Ovis aries: one gene and its partners. The protein of the gene in region 1 binds, or shares a complex with, the protein of each later gene. Links are inferred from orthologs where the notes say so. Each region holds a gene or a part of one and is shown in the gene's direction. Other genes may lie near its edges. The genes, in order: SYT1, SV2A and CPLX1.

Region 1 (5,476 bases):
GAGGCAGCCTTTCAGAGAAGATAACATTTTGTCAGGACAGAGAGAGCCTGATACAGAGTCCATGAGGCATGAAAAAAATGAGCATGCCTTTGACTGTATCCTGTCTTCTCTGTTCTGTGAGTCAATTTGCTCTTTTTTCTCTTTTTTCCCCCAAGAGGCTGCTTACCTAAGCTTTGCATTTCCCAAGAGAAAATAATTGAGCATTTAACATGCTGTGATAGGGACTTAGGTTTCATTTATCCTGAGGTTATAAGAGTGTCTTTCTGCCCCTATCCACATGAAACAAGAAAGAAACAAAATATACTGATTCCCCCAAATCACAAGAAAATGCAGCAAACCACCCCTCCACTCCCCAAAAATGTATATACTACATACACAGCTGGAAAAACTGACTCAAGTCCCTTATAAGGATATTTTGTCCTGGTTGCTACTAATCAATATATTCCTAGGTGAAACAACCAAAACTCACTCCAACTATTCACTCCAACCTCCAAAACCCTAGTTCCCTTTGTCCACGATGCCCCTAGTGTCTCTGCCCCCATTTGCTGCAATAAAATGGCATCCAGATAAATTCACTTGGGAAAAGTACACAGAACCACCATGATGCTCTTCTTGGTCCCGAATGCCATCCAGTAAATAGGTCATTCTCTTGATAATGGAATCAATCCACGGCTGCACAAAAGGGAAATTTGTTTCCTCTAACTGCCCGTGTGCTACATTCTACATTCTCAATTCCACTCTCAGAAGTGATCTTTTTTCTCTGATCTGAAGCTTTGTGTGGGCGCCTCTCTCAGGACGTTCATACAGAATGCAATCCTCAGACAACAGAGCAGTAAAGGGCCACAGCTGGGCAGGCTCTTCATCTGGCCCTGGCTTCCATCGTTACATTTTCTGCTTCTTTTGACTCTGGCCACCAAATGTTATAAATTCACTTTACTCTAAATTTGTCCTTTATCTTTTCCCTTGGTTTCTAGATCGGAACTGTTGCCTATTTTGACTAAGCAAATCAGTTACTTAGAAAGAACCAAAATGTACTTTTAGAAAATGTTTTTTTCATGTCAAACTGGCATAGATTTTCTTTCACCAGTTCAAAATAGTAAGGCATTAAATACACCATCACAATATTTTTCAGCCATTAAAAAGAAATAATCCCATTTAAAAAGAAGGAAATAATGCCATTTGCAATAACATGGCAGGACCTAGAGTGTCACGCGGAATAAAGTAAGTCACACAGAAAAGGAGAAATATCACACGACATCCCTTCTATGTGGAATCTAAAAAGAACTGATACAAACGAACTTGCCAAACAGAAAGAAACAGAAAACAAACTTAGGGTTTTCAGGGGGAAGGGATAATTAGGGACTTTGGGAAGATCATGAACATACAGCCATATTCAAAATGGATAACCAACAAGGTTATCCTACTGTACAGCACATGGAACTCTGCTCAGTGTTATGTTCCAGCCTGGATGGGAGGGGGGTTTAGAGGAGATGGATACAGGTATATGTATGGCTGAGTGCCTCTGCTGCTCACCTGAAACTATCACAGTATTGTTAATTGGCTATACCCCAGTACAAAATAATAAGTTTAAATCTTGGAAAAAATAAAATAAACCCTCACAACCTAACGGAATCACTTGGAGTAAATCTTGTCAGCCTAAAGGGTTATTTCCATTTGATGTCAACACTGGATACACAGTTACTTCGTTTTTATTGAGAGAATTTATGAATGAGAAAAAAATACCTTTAGTTAATTACTACTTATTGAAGACTTTTACTCTATTGTGACACTTCATACTCACAATAATCATTGATTAGCTGGAATTCTACAGTAGTTTTAAATAAAACTATGCTGGCTCTTCCCACCTGAAATAGGGTTGCAGTATATGGTTGCTTTGAAAACTGTAACCGCCCCCTCCAAGAAAATGATCTGAGTACTAATGTCAGAAATTTTGTTGATAAAACAATAGAAACAAATGGATTTAACAGTGAACACAGGTTGACATGGGCGGCGTGGCATGGTATTTTACAGGATGAACCCCGGAAACCAAACCACTCATTTCTTATATGACTTGAGGCAGGTGATTTAACTCCTCTGAGCTTTAGCATCTTATCTGTATGACAGCAGTTAACAGGATCTAATGTAACTCAGCAGTCCACACGAAAGTCTTAGAACTGTGCCAAAACGGACATCTATTAAGTATTTTGAAGATGCTGCAGATGATGATGATGTGATAATGACAAGAGGGACTGGACTTGTGTTAGGTTCCCAGTCATTTTCAGCCTCGTCCTGGCACTTGCGGATCGGCTCTTCTTAGCTCCCAATTGCTTGGATCTCAAGGAAGCTGGGTGGTAGGACTGTATCTCTAGAGCTGGCTGATTAATGTGTATTTTGTGTCCTCTCTCAGAAAGTGCAAGTGGTGGTAACTGTTTTGGACTATGACAAGATTGGCAAGAACGATGCCATCGGCAAAGTGTTCGTGGGCTACAACAGCACTGGGGCGGAGCTGCGACACTGGTCAGACATGCTGGCCAACCCCCGGCGCCCCATCGCCCAGTGGCACACCCTGCAGGTGGAGGAGGAGGTGGACGCCATGCTGGCAGTCAAGAAGTAAGGGAAGAAGCCTCTCTGTGTTTGCCCACATAGTGCTCTTTAGCCAGTATCTGTAAATACCTCAGTAATATGGGTCCTTTCATTTTTCCAGCCATGCATTCCTAACACAATTCAGTGGTACTTCAAACCCTGTTTTAATTTGCACAAATTTAAATGTAGAGAGCCCCAAAGCCCTTCATCATCCCACTGCCCTCCAAATCTACTCTTCTTTTAAGCAATATGATGTGTAGATAGAGCATGACGGAAATTCTTTATTGTATCACACCGTTGTATATACCAGTATGCTAAAGATTTATTTCTAGTTTGTGTATTTGTATGTTGTAAGTGTTTCCTAATCTGTGTATATCTAGATGTTTTTAATAAGATGTTCTATTTTAAACTATGTAAATTGACTGAGATATAGGAGAGCTGATAATATATTATACGGTAAATAGAGTATCATCTGCATTCCAGCAATCTCAACTTGTAAGGCACTAGTACGGTGAAGCTGACACCTTAAAGGACAACTTAAACCTGAGCTTTCTGTTGAATCATGTGAGCACCAAGATACGCTTGCACCACAAATTTGGTGGGTGAATCCAATTTGGTAGAATTTCTTCACAGGCAAATTAGCATGATCTGAGCAGCACCCAGCCAGCCTGACCTCCAGGCACAAACAGAATAGCATCCGTCTGTGCACATCTACAGAGCTCAAGGCAGAGCTTCACTCTGACATTCGCGGAAGCAACTGACCAGCGGTCAGTGATTCCATGTTACTGCACATAGAGTACCGACATGATGGTGTTCCGTGTGTGTGTGTGTTTGTGTGTGTGTGTGTGTGTGTGTGTACACACCCACATTTGTCTGGGGATGGGAGGGGTGGGAAAGAAGCAGAGGAGAGAAGAAGTCGGCATTTCGAAATGTTGCCTGACTATTCAAGAAGAAAAGTAGCTCTCCGTTCTCAGCTTCACACACCCTGTGCACCCTGTGAATTCTGTCCCAGCTGTCACACCTACAATGACTCCAAAGGTTTGCACATCAGACTCCATAACAGAACATTTTATTATACTGGATTAGAAGGAATGCAGAATATTTTTAACACAGCAGTCTGTGCTTAGGACACAAGATTACTTGGTGGTAAACAGACAGTATTGTAATCCCATCAAAAGAGGAAGGAAATAACTAGCCATAGTTCTGAATGCACCTCCATTAAAGCCAAAACAGACAGTTAGCTAGTGATCTTTTTATATGCTCTTTTTACGTAAATAAGTTTTAATTTGTCCTTTAAAATAAAAAAAGGTGAAACACAACCAAGAATAAGTTCTAGAAAACTGAAGCAACCTCTTATGTATACTAGATGCTTGATTTAGGAGGAGTTTTTAAATGTTTTCAATGTTATTATGTAGTAAACGGCACTATTATGAAGCTACTAGTCATTCCATAAGCGTCTTAAAGGACTGCTCTGTGTAACACTGTGACTGCCGTGTGTGCTTAGACACGTAACGTAGTTTCCTCAGTGGATAGCACTCAGTCTATTCCTTAGTGATATTGTAACAATACTGCCATTCCCTCCTACTGCACTGCCCAAGGTGTGTGTAGCACAAACAGTTCTCATTACAAAGGACCAACTCAGCACCGAAAAGCTATGCATAGGATAAGAACGACAGAAAGCACGAGGTGGATCACACAGCATTTTGTCAAGCACTGTGCAATATACCACATTTATCCCCACTGCAGCAGACCACCACTTCACCGAAGGGCAGCCTCTGATCTCACACTGCATCTAGCCTTTGCTCCCACCAGCCTCTGTGGTTCCTTCTCACTCCCAGGCCAGAGAGAGTAGGAATGCTCTGAAGGGGAAGTCTGTCTTCAAAAATACCAGAACAAAATGGAAGGAAGCTAAGCATTGGCCTCACGTTCAGGCTTTTGGATTTCGTGCCACGGTTCTTAAAACCTCAAAGAGAATTCAAAAAAGCCTAACGGGAAGCGTCAATCGTAGGGCTGGCCGTTTCCTGAGAAAACTAGAATTCCTGTCTAGTTCTTTCCTTATCAAAGCAGAGGCCAGCCCTTTGGCCTTTCAGCCCAGTTGCAGCAGACTCCTCGGGACTGGGATAGACCTGAAGGACGAAGGGAGAATAAGACCTCCCCCTTCTGTGGATGCTCCACACTTTTTTCCAAAAAGTAGACAGTAGAAAATGCACAAGTCCTGATGTCAGATTAAACACCTGCTTTAAAAAAAAAGATTCAAATGAGACTCCTTCCGATTTAAAAGATAAGACCCTACCAAAGCAAGGGAGTTGACTGACTTTTTTAAGTTCCTTGAATATCAGAAATTGACATGAGTTCACTGTATTCAGCTTTAAGTTGTTCGCACCGAAACAAACATTTTGAAACAAGCAGGTTCAAGTTGCCAAGTACAAATCATTTCTTGTATTAAGGCATGAGTAATGTGTTCTCTTGCAACACTGCCAGACATGGGATATTGTCACCATAGAATCAGCTGGTACTACACCACCTGTCACGAGTCAGTGACCGAACCTGCTTCAAGACCGAGATTCATCCTCCAATAAGCCACACGAACCCTTCTGACAAAGCTGTGTAAAGTATTAGAATCTGATGCTCTAGAACGATCCTAGTTGCCTTTGTGTATATTTACTGCCTGCTTGAGTGCTTCTCTGTGTGGATTTTCTCTGTATCTTGTAGAAACGTTGGGGTGTTTTCTTCTGCCATATGGCTCGTGGCCCGCGAGCCAACTACTTTAGCTGTATTTTACCTTCATTTTTGATGAGGTGGTTTAAATTTTGTTTCATTTCGTGTAGTGAATTCCACAGTAGTTTTCTGATTGTTGTTAAAAATGACTTAACATATTACACGGATATTCAAT
Region 2 (5,977 bases), on another chromosome or scaffold:
GATGTTGAATTGACAGATGATTTTGTGTTTGGGCTTGGTGGAAAGGTCTGGACCTTTGGAGATAGAAATGTGGGAATTGATATCATAGAGACAGCATTAAGGTCAAGGGTCTACTTGAGGTGATCACAAAGAGAGTAGGTGGAAGCAGAGAAGGGCCCTGAACTCAGCCCCTAGGAAACTTAGTGGACCCAGAAAAGGGGCCCTTGAAGGAGTAGCTGGTGAGGTGCATGGGTCCTTGGTTCTAGGGAGAAATGATAAAGTCTTTCCTCAGAACTTGAAAAATATATCCACCCTTTCCCTCTAAGAGTACAAGATTTCTATTTTAGAAATGGATAAGTAATGGCTAAGTAGAGCATATGCAAAGTCACCTTAAAGAGAAGACATGGCTCCCTGCCAGCGGAACTTGGCTATAACCTAATTGAAAATATTTACATATTTAAATGAAGAATATGTCAACCTGAAGAGAAGTCAGCAGTGAATGCTAGTAACGGGAGAGTCCCTCAGGCCCATATGGGCACAGCCTTTCCAAGAGCCATCCTGGAAAGAGTGCTTCAACCAGCGGAGTTAGAGTAGTCCAGGAGCATTGGCAAGGCTGCCCACAGCGTAGAGATGGGGGGTGGAGAATCGTAGCCAAGAAGAGTTTTCTGAACCCATTGGCACGACTCCTTGCTGGGGATGGCCAGATGCCATTAAAGACACAACTCCTCCTCTTTGGTTATATCAATGTGCATTTATATGTTGACATTATTGTTGACTTGGTTTAAAGGGAGAGAATGTGCTGGACATGCAGACATGAGTTTTCCTTCAGTGTGAGTGACAGTTAAATTTTTCTCTGTAACTTAACACTTACGTATTATGGCTTTCTGTTTTAGTAAATTGTAAACCTTGTTGGCACAAAACAATATTCCAAGATGTAGCTTTGTGAAACTCCAGAGACCCATATCTTTGTCAGTGATAAATTCAGTACCACAAATGCCACCTGTGAGGTTGGGGACACCCAGCTGCCAGCCCTCTCCATGTAACGTATCCTAACATTTTGAAACCTCTGTGCTTAACAGAACAGAACCACACATTATTAAATATAAGAGATCCAATGCAGCATCTACTCTAAGCCCCTCATTTTCCAGCTGAGAAAACTGGGGTTCAGAGAGACAGAGAACTTGACCAAGGGCCCACAGCTTATTGGAAGTGAGAACCCTGGTCAGTGCTCTGTCCAAATAACCCCAGTCCTTACCTCGAATAGGTAGACTTACATTCAGTATGAGCATCTCCAAAGTACCTGCTTCCCTCATCTCTGAAGCAAATATGTTCACCAAGTGGTATGTCTTGGATCTCTAAGCCCAGGTTATTGATACTGAGGCAAAGGAAAGATAAAAGGAAAGAAGTGAAACCAATTCACTTTGTTCTTGCCCTGGAAGCAGAAGTGTGTGTGTGTGTGTGTGTGTGTGTGTGTGTGTGTGTGTGTGTGTGTGTGTGTGTGTTAAGAGAAAGTGGGGAAGAGTACTGCGGGAGATTGTTGTTGGTTTTTTTTTGAGTTATTGTAACAAATACCTAGGGCTTCCCTGGTGGCTCAGTGGTAAAGAATCCATCTGCCAATGAAGGACAGGAGATGAGTGTTGATCCCTGGGGTCAGGAAGATCTTCTGGAAAAGGAAATGGCAACCCACTCCAGTCTTGCCTGGGAAATCCCATGGACAGAGGAGCCTGGCTAGCTAGTCTATGGGGTAGAAAAAGAGTAGGATATGACTTAGGGACTTAACAACAGCAAGAAGGAAATAATTGGCAGGGGAGATGCCCAACTGGTCATGCCCATCAAACCCCTGCAGCTTCTCCAACCTCTGCTGTCACCAGCAGAACGGAGGACAAGGAGGTCTGATTGGAAATAAATAGTCTGGAAAGAGATAACAAGGATCCAGGAGTTTCCTTCTCTGGCAGTTTAGGATAAAAACCACATTTTGTTATTCTTGCTTCCTGTGAAACAGCCAGGTAAACTTGGAGTGTGAGCAGTCCAGATTTGGGAGTTTGGCTAGGAACAGTGAGGAAGGGAAAGGGAGGCGATTTGAAGGCAGAGCGAGTCCCTAACATTTGTGGGTCTTGCCATTCCGGGACTGAGGCTCTGAGGAAGGGGCTGCCTCGTTCACCATCTCCCTTTCTGTCTTCCCACTTGCCTTCTCGACATCAGTATTACTTTCCTTAGATCCTTTAGTCTTTAACTAGGAGGGGCTGGTGTCATCTCCAGCTGCCCCTGTGACAGCCCCTCCAGCTCCCTCACCGCCTCTCCCCAGCCCCGAGTCCCTCCCCATCCTCTTTTTTCTTCCACCCCCCACCCCCCAACAATGGTCTCTCCCGACGCTCACTGGTGCGGGGGGCGGGGGAGGGCGGGGGGAGGGCGGAGGCGGGGCCGGAGCCCGTGGGGGGGCAGGTCTGCATTGCTGCTTCCCTTGGTACCCAGAGCAGACGCCGCTGCCGCCTGCCCCACCGCCGGGACCCCCGCCCTCACCCGGACTCCCTTATCTGGGGGACCCAGCCCAGGTGAGACCCCTCTCTCAGTTTCTCAGCTCCACCCCGCCCCGGGGCAGAAGCATCCTCGCCTTGTCTTGCAGCCATTTTATCTTCCGATGCTTTGCTTGTGGGGAGGGTGACCGTCCCTCATCGGGGGTGACGGGATTGCTGGTGGTTTGAATGGACATTTATGGCGGTTGCTGTGTTGATCAGAGAAGGAAATATATATATTTATACATATATATATGTGTGGAGGAGGGGTGTTTTTCTCTACCTTAACCAAGCTCATACTACTCTCCTCAGATGTTAACGGGGGTGGGGGCTTGTAAGGTGGAATAGGGTTCCCTCAAACTCCAATTCCCAACTCATCTTGCACCCCCCCCTCCACCTCTCCCCCTCGCCCCGCGTGATAGATGACCTTGGCTGGGGCGGGAGAATATATGCTGCCTCAGTCTGTGCACCTGGACTTGGGTTGCGGGTGGTGGGGGGGAGCGGTTGGGTTTGTGGGGTGTGTGGGGGGGGAGGGGGTTGGTGGAGGAAGGGCAGATGAAGGAGGGAAGAAAGGGAATGGTGAACGGAAATGTTGGGTAGATAGAGGTGGTGAACAACCAGGCTTGGGGGTATGGTTGGGGGTGGGGCTGGAGGCAGGCAGTCGCTCTGGGGTCGGGGTCGGGGGAAGGGGTGTTGAGTGCTGATGGGCACTAGTCCAGCAGCAGAATCAAGGGTGAGGGGAGGCGCTGGGAGAATGGGTTCAGTCAGTTCTAGGGGCTCCGCTCTTATACCAGAGTAGGGCAGGATGGAGAGGGTCGCCGCGGATGCTGGCAGGGGCGGTCTCTATGCCTGCGCTCCTGAAGATCTCCCCTTGCATTCTGGTCCCTGCCTCTCCGAATTCCTCCTTGGACATTCTCAGCTGACACCTTGATCTTTTCCCCATCAGAACTGTGGAGACTCCATCTTCCAAACCGTAGGGTAGTATGTAGGCAGGAGTGGTGCAGCCTTGGCTGTCCTGGGGTGGGGATCGAGGCTCAGTTACCCAGCAGAGGTGGGGAGGGGTGCTCCAGCACCTCTCTCCCCCACAACCATGAATGTTTTGATAAGTGATTGCTTCTTAACGACCTTGTCACCTGGGCTAGGGTGGGTTGGGAAATCCAGGTGGCTTCCAAAGTCAGGGGCTTTGATGGAGGTGAGGGGTTCTGGACCTTCCCACCCCACAACCAATCTTGGGCTGAGTTATCCTGAGAGGAAGCCTTTGCTCAGAGTCTCCTGCCTCCCCCCATCCTCTGCAGAAAATCTCTCGGGCATGTTTTCCCATCAGGTGAAGCCAACCGACCTTAAAGAGCCCTGTAACCCTGAATCTTATCTCCTTTAACCTCTACGTCTCTGAGTCTGTCTCCCTCCCACAAGCTTAGCCACCCTGTGCTGCTTTGGGGGCTAAAAATAGCACCACTTTCTCACCAGCTTGAAGAATTTGTCTTCTTTCTCTCCCTCCTGAGCTCCTGGGCTTGTTGGCCCTGGGGGAGCTGGCTGCTGAGCCATCACGTCCTGCTGTGGCTCCGGGGCCCTCTGTGCCCTTCCGGTTCCTCTCAGGGGTGGAGAGTGTAAACAAACACCGAGCGTGGCTCCTGCTGGGCCCATCTGCCTGTGCCAGGGTTTGGGGGGAGAGCCTAACAGGGAAGGAAAGGTGAGGCAAACAAATTGCATGCCAAAAGGGGATTCCACTGTTCCCTCTCTCCAATGGGGGATGGTTTGGGCCTTGAACCACAAGGAAAGAAGGTGACATAGGGGTCACTGGTTCTGGTCATCGTGGTCCACTGCTCACATCTGACCTGAGGGGGTAGGGCTCTGCTTTGCCAGTGCTTCTTTCTAAACTACATAGCATTACTTACTCCTTCTGCCTGGGCCACTGTGTGTGTGTGTGTGTGTGTGTGTGTGTGTGTGTGTGTGTGTGTGTGTATAAGTGTATGTGTGACATTTAATGAAGGCCCTGGATGGGTTGGAACAGAATGAAGCAGGATATTTTTAGGGTAATGATCTCTGATCAGAATCTAGTCCTGCTTCCTCTGCTTCTATAAAGGAAGAGGGGCTTCTCCCATGCTTGCCTCTGGAGGATGTCTTTTGTGGGGGAGGGGAGGTCCAAGCCCCCTTCATTCTATATGAGCTCCTACGCAATGCGGTATTTATGGACTCCCTTTTCCTTGACTCTTGGAGGAGGAGCAGAAAGGATTAAGGGGGATTAGAAAGGGAGGCCATGGAGGAAGGAGGTACAACCATAGACCTTAGATGCCCATGTTGGAAATGTATGTGTTTGATTTTCCACCCCTACCCCCACCGGTGAAAGGGGGCCCATTTATGACATCCTGAAGGAAGGTGGCAAGCCAGTCGTTACCTCTTTTTTAGATTTTGGTCTGCCCCTTTTTCCCCATGACCTCAGATTCCAGGTCTCCCTTTTTGTGAGTCTTCCATTGTTTGTCTGGAGCAGACAGTATGGGTCCAGCTGCTGGCATTTGTTTGAACACAGAGGGGTTTTGGGGATTCTGTATTGGGAGGTTACAACAGCATCCAAATGTGACCCCCCCCCTGCTTTGCCCTTGCTGCTTCTTTCACAGTTTTTAATCTAGTAGGAAGGAAAGAAACTAATAGAAGGTCTGCTGTGAGATTAAATTATCACATCCACCTGGAGAAATAGAGATTATTATCCCCAGTTTAAATATAAGGACTCTGAGGTTTAGAGATGTTCAGGAACCTGCTCAAGATCAGTTAGTAAATGGCAGAGCTGGAATTTCAACTTATGTCATCTGATTGTCATGCGCTGTGCACTGAACCAGCTCTCTCCTTGCCAGTATCCCTTTCTGCCATTCACCCTAAAGAGCATCCACAGGTGGCTTTCGTTCTAACGTCTTGTGAGGGAGTGGAGGTCATCTTACCACATTACTATCACCACAAAGAGTAATAACTAATATTTATTCATCAGTTGTTATGTGCCAGGCACTATGGTAAAGAGCTTATACTCATTATGTCATTTAATCCTTACTTCCCCCTCTTTAATGAGAGGGAACTAAGGCTTTGAGGATCAGAGACATGCTCATGGTCACTTAGTAAGCTGTTGAAGCAGGAAGTCAAATCTAAGTCTGTCTGATTCTGGAAGCTGAGCTTTCACCCACTGAGCTATGTTGGGAGAAGACTCTTCTTTGTGAAGCCTACAAACATGGAACCTGAGGAAGGACCATAAAGCCCCATATTCAGATGCCATCAGTGGTCTGAAGGCAACAGGTTGAAGGATTCAGTTGTCCTTCTATACGTTCCCTGCAAGCTCTGCTCCCAGTAAGAAACCCAGACCAGACTAGAGAAGGGAGTTTTGGTTTCTCCATTTCCTGTTTTATCTTTGGCAGGTGGGTGGTAAAGCAAATGGTCTGTTCTTGAAGTGGGGCCAGGGATCAGGAGATGGGCTCTGGGTAGGTGATCGTGACTTTGGAGCA
Region 3 (5,476 bases), on another chromosome or scaffold:
GACACATCACACACACACCACACACACACCACACACACATAACTACTCACTGGCACATACAACCACCCCATAGGCACACAAACACTATCACACACAACCACAGACACACACATCGAACCCCACAAACCACCATAATCACCTACAGATACACAAACACAACCACACACACAAAACCAGACATGCACACAACCACACACACAACCACCCACAGGTGTACACACATACAACTACATGCAGACACACACAGCACAGAAACACACACAGACAACCGCCCACAGGCACACAAACACAACCACACACACAAAGCCACAGACATGCACACAACCACCCACACCCACACACACACACAACTACATGCAGACACACACAACAACCACACACAGGCACACAAACACAACCACATACACAAAACCACACACACAGCCACAGCCACACACAGCCACCCATAGAAACACACACAACCAGACACACACACACAACCACTCACAGACACACAGCTACCCACAGGCACACACACAACCACCCACAAGCACACAAAGACTATCACACACAACCACAGACACAACCACACACACAAAGCCACAGGCATGCACACAACCACCCATAGACACACAACAACCACACACACACACAACTACACGCAGACACACACAACAACCACACACAGGCACACAAACACAACCACATACCCAAAACCACACACACCACACACAGAACCGCAGCACAGAGGCCCGCAGGAGCCCTCGTGCAGTCGCACCCCGACAGCCCCAGCCTCCTCCGCCCCACACTGGAGGCCGAGGGCGCAGGGCAAGGAGAAGCCGGGCCTGGCCTGACTCCCGCCTTCCTGTGCCCAGGGGCCACCAAGGACATGGGCAAGATGCTCGGGGGCGACGAGGAGAAGGACCCTGACGCCGCCAAGAAGGAGGAGGAGCGGCGCGAGGCGCTGCGCCAGGAGGAGGAGGAGCGCAAGGCCAAGTACGCCAAGATGGAGGCGGAGCGCGAGGCCGTGCGGCAGGGCATCCGCGACAAGGTGGGCGCGGCGGCGGCTCGGCACCGGGGGCCGGGGCCGGGCTGGGGGTGCTGCCTGCGCGAGGGCTGGGCGAAGCCGGGCTGGGCCGCCGCCCGCCCTCCTCCGAGGCTCGCAGAACGGACCTCGCGGAGGGCCCCCCGGGGAGGGGGCGGGCGGGGGAGATCCCGCGTCCCAGCGCGCGCGTCTGCACACGCTCACCGGGCCTGGGGCTCGCCCTGCGGTCCGAGTCCTCCTGGCTCCGGTGGCGGGGGCTGGACCCCTCCTCCCAGGATCCCGGGCTGGCGTGCTGGCTTCTGTAGGACAAGCTCCCGTGGCTGCCCCCAGGACTGCCCCCAGGGACTTGGAGGGCAGGCCCTTCTGGAGAGGAGAGGCAGGGCGGCCAGGGGCTGGCCCACCGGCGGGCTGCAGGTGGGTGAATCGTCCTGGGCTGGAGGATGCCCCTGACCCCGCCCGGGTGGGCCTTAGGCCCCTGAGGTGAATGACAGGGTGTTGGGGGCAGGTCTGTGGCTGTGTGGGCTGGCTGGGGGTGGGCTGGGAGCTCGAGGTCATCTTTCCAGAACCCTCTGGCACCTTCCTCTGTGTGCACGGCATGCGCACACACCCGGCCGGGACCCGAGGCCAGAGCAGGGGCAGACATGGGAGGCTGTCAGCTGCGGGCCCCAGGGGCCTGTCCACTGCCCACCCTCAGGTGCCCACCCAGCTGTGGGTCGGAAGGGCAGGCATGGGGCAGCTGCTCCTGCCTCTTCCAGGGTGGGCCGGCCTGCAGGCCAGGTGGAGAAGCAAGGGCCCTCCCCAGGGCCCCACGATGTCCTGAAGCACGTGGCCTCCCACGGTCCACAGCGTCTTGGGCCTTGAGCACCACTCGGGGGTCCACACGGGCCAGGCCTCTCCACCCAGAGACCTGGGGGGGGGGACTCAGTTTGGGGGTGCTGCCTCTCAATTCTGTCCTGCTCCCCCTGACACTCCCATCTCTGGGCCCTGAGGGAAGTGTTTCCAGACACTGGCTGAAGCCTGTGGGAGGGGACCGGGCATGGGCAGAGGGGTCGTCCAGAGGGCGTCTCCACAGTCCCCAGCCCCTCCCTCCTGCCTGGTTCGCAGGGCCTCTGCGATGCGGACACAGGCGGGCGCCTGCAGGTCTCTGGGCCCACGGGGGCCCCCATGCTGATGGAGGGTGGGGTGCACCCTGGTGTCCCGTCACTGGTCACTGGACACCTTTCTGGGCAGAAAGTTTAAGTTGATTGTGCTGGGGCAGCAGCTGATGAGACCCTCACCCCCAGGACCAACCACAAGACTTTCAGAGCCTTTTGGGGAAGGGCCAGGAAGAGCACACAGACAGCAGAGAGGGAGGCAGCCATGGGCGGGGAGGGGCCAGAAGGCAGAGAGACAGCTCAGGCATTCTGCCTGTAATAGGAAGCCCCTTCTGCCCCTCCCCTCCTCAGACTGTCCAGCGGCCCCATCTCCCTGGGGCTCCAGCCCCAGGGGCGTGGGGACACTGCCCCTCAGGGCTCCCACTGCCCCAGGGCCTTTGCTTGGCTGCTGCGCTCTGGGGCTCCCTGAGGCCCCGCCGCCCTGCCGCCTCTGCGCTCCTCTCCTGCCTTCCTCGCTCCGCACCGGCCTTCATCTGGGAGCATGCCTGCGCACTCGGTTGCGTCCAGCTCCCTGCGATCCCGCCAGGCTCCTCTGTCCGTGGGGTTCTCCAGGCAAGAGTACCAGAGTGGGTTGCCTTTTCCTCCTCCAGGGATCTTCCCGACCCAGGGATCAGCCTCAGTCTCCGGTGTCCTCCTGCTTTGGCAGGCAGACTCTTTACCGCTGAGCCACCTGAGAAGCCCCCCTCCTCTGACACACACTTCTCACTGGGTTGCTGCTCACTGTCCATCCCCTGCAGGGAGGGCAGGGACTCTGACTGCACTTGGCCTTGCATGCTGAGCAAACGAGTGAGTGAGTGAACAGGCATCAGCTCCAGCGTCCTTTTCTTCCTCAGGGAACCGAGTGGCACTCACAAGTCACAAAGTGAGTCCCAGTGAAAATGGAGGGTGTGTCCCCACCCTGCGGGCAGCTCCATGGGAGGCCAGGGGGCAGGGCGACCCTCACCACCCCCACCCTCAGGACCCCAGCTTCCAGGGCGACAGCACGGAAGGCTGCAGCCTTGGGCAGAGCCCCACGGCCCCCTAGCCTGGTGCCCCGGGGGTCGCTTGGACAGTGGTGCTGCTTCCCCAGACGAGCATCACCCCCATCTGGGACCCCCGTGGGTGGGCTGAGTGCCTTTGCTTCTGAACTGCCTCCACAGACCCCAGGCCGCTTCTGGACCCTGGCAGTCCCCAGACCCACCGCGGCTCCATCAGCCACGGTGGACGGTCTCCCTGCTGGGCCCAGGCCTCCTTCCTGGGCACGTCCAGGGTCTGGTCTCACCCGCCCATGGGGCACGATGGTGTCTGCTGAGTTCAGTTGCCTGGGCAGGGGTCAGAGCTGGGCCCCACCCCATGCAGGGGCTGGGGCCGCAGTTTCCTTACCAGCCCAAGCCCAGCTTCTGCGACCAGAGGATGAGGCGGGACGAGGGGGCCAGGGCTTGGTCCTTGGGGGCAGCCTGCAGGGAAGGTGTGGTGTGTTGGGGAGCATGCCGACACACGCAGCTGAGTCTGACAGGTGGGGGCCAGGCCTGTCGGTGTTCAGGGGAGACAGGCTGATGATGAGTGCCCCCATTCATGGGTCGGAGGCAGCTCAGGGTCTGATGCACTCTGGATGTTAGAGCCCCAAAGCCCCAGGTCCTCACAGCCTCAGTGTTGGTCTCCAAGAATTTGGTTACCTCCTTCAAGGAGCCTCCAGCTCAACAGAGAGGAGCCCGCTCTGCCCACAAGACCCTAGAGGTGGACAGCGCGGCTATGGAAGGACAGGCTGCCCCGGCCATCCAGGGTGGGGGTCACCACTGCCCTCTCTCCCCAGACATCCTGACGATGAGCTCTGCGCCTGGAGCCCCCTACCCACCGACGCCGCCCCCCATCACATCCCCTGGCCCTGCCTGGTCCCCCGTGGCTGCAGAGCCCTTCTCAACCTGGCCTTCCAAGGTGACCCCCTCCCGCCCCCCTGCCCCCACAGGTGGGACCCCTGACCTTTTGGAGTGGTTCCCCCAATGGCCCTCGCTGGCCCCCAGGCCCCAGACCCACTTCCTGCAGCCCCTTCCTGCTGTCTGGGGTGGGGTGCCCCATGGGGTGCCCCATGCCCCCACCCCCAACCTCACAACCTGAAATGTATCCAGATATTGCCAAATATCCCCTGGGGTCAAAATTGCTCCAGTTCAGAACCACTGATTTAGAGAAATTTTTGAGGTTTTTGGCCAAGCAATCACTTAGAAAGGAATATAAAAGTATATCCCTAAGACAACTCTACTGGTCAAGGAAGAGAGTGGGGGTCCCTCACGCGGAGGCCGAGGGGTCAGGCCAGGCCGCGTGCCCCGGCTCCCTGGGGGAACCTCATCTGCATCCGGGCTCCTGGCCTCTGCGGGCTGGTGGGTGGTGCCTCCCCCCACCCCATGCCCGCCGGCCCGCGCGTAATGACGTCATGACACACTGCGCGGGTCCAGGTCGGGGGAGACTGGCCGCCTGTGTCATCTGGTCCCTGCTTCCTGGTCTGCGCCCCCGCCTTCTGGTTTACACTGCGGCCATCAGTGACTCTGAGCCAGAACCACCCTCCAGCAAGCGCTGGGCTGGCGAGTCCTGGTCGACCCAGCCCCCCTGGCCCAGGTTTGCGCTGAGAGTAACAGGTGTGGGCACATTGCTGACTCTCACCGTTAGGGAGCACTGCTTTGCCCAGGGCGCTGGCAGCCTGGGCTCCCTCCGGGCCTCAGTGGTACTGTCTCAGTGGTTGAGGAGGATGGAGGGAAGGGGTTGGGCTGGGGGAGCTGGGGGAGGGGTGGGGTTTCAAACAGGCGCTCAGCCAGACCACATCAAAGCCAGGCCCTGGGAGTGACCCCAAAGAGTAAAGTGGCCCTCAGGTCTGCCCAGAGTGGCTTAGGGTCAGAATGGCTTTTAGCCTCAGTGGAGCGACTGACTTGGGGCCCGGGGTCTCCTTCCTGGACCCTAGAGGGGAGGACCGTGACACAGACCCCTCCCTGACCCCCTGCCTGACCACACACCCTGTGTTCCTGCCCTTACGTGTGTGTCCCCTTGTCACCCGCCTGTTCCGCCAGCATCACGTGCTCCCCTGAGCGCGTGTGTGCACCTTTGCTGAGTGTGGGGGGTGGGGGGCTTTGGCCACCACGGCCTCCTAGGTCCAGCGCACATACCTGCGCCCCAGTTGGGGACAGACGTCCTGCAGCTGCGGGAACTGCTGGACTCTGTGCCTCTGGCTGGAGGGAAGCTCCCTCTGGTCTGACCTAATTCCTGGTGGTGTGTCTCTCCGCCCTGCGCGTCCCTCCCCCCGAGGCAGGGCACCGCCCTCTGTGGTGACCCA

What was found.
Region 2: the proteins of SYT1 (region 1) and SV2A are in contact, whole or in part, in a crystal structure (PDB 4V11), measured with the Homo sapiens proteins. The link is inferred for Ovis aries from reciprocal best matches to the Homo sapiens genes SYT1 and SV2A. Residues at the interface, in NP_001129277.1 of Homo sapiens: Thr291, Lys314, Lys326, Lys327, Lys328, Glu342, Ser343, Phe344, Ser345; in NP_001315603.1 of Homo sapiens: Asp82, Thr84, Glu85, Gly86, His87, Asp88.
Region 3: the proteins of SYT1 (region 1) and CPLX1 are in contact, whole or in part, in a crystal structure (PDB 5W5C), measured with the Rattus norvegicus proteins. The link is inferred for Ovis aries from reciprocal best matches to the Homo sapiens genes SYT1 and CPLX1. Residues at the interface, in NP_001028852.2 of Rattus norvegicus: Glu271, Thr383, Gly384, Glu386, Thr406, Leu407, Gln408, Glu412, Met416; in NP_074055.1 of Rattus norvegicus: Val61, Met62, Gly65, Asp68, Lys69, Tyr70, Lys74.

The regions. Positions count from the first base shown.
Region 1 is NC_056056.1:115,557,309-115,562,784, forward strand, and holds part of SYT1 (synaptotagmin-1), read left to right. Parts: intron 1-2,407; coding exon 2,408-2,614; 3' UTR 2,615-5,476. UniProt on the Homo sapiens protein: Calcium sensor that participates in triggering neurotransmitter release at the synapse. May have a regulatory role in the membrane interactions during trafficking of synaptic vesicles at the active zone of the synapse.
Region 2 is NC_056054.1:100,018,239-100,024,215, reverse strand, and holds the start of SV2A (synaptic vesicle glycoprotein 2A), read left to right. Parts: upstream 1-2,427; 5' UTR 2,428-2,531; intron 2,532-5,977. UniProt on the Homo sapiens protein: Plays a role in the control of regulated secretion in neural and endocrine cells, enhancing selectively low-frequency neurotransmission.
Region 3 is NC_056059.1:118,208,671-118,214,146, forward strand, and holds part of CPLX1 (complexin-1), read left to right. Parts: intron 1-854; coding exon 855-1,030; intron 1,031-5,476. UniProt on the Homo sapiens protein: Positively regulates a late step in exocytosis of various cytoplasmic vesicles, such as synaptic vesicles and other secretory vesicles.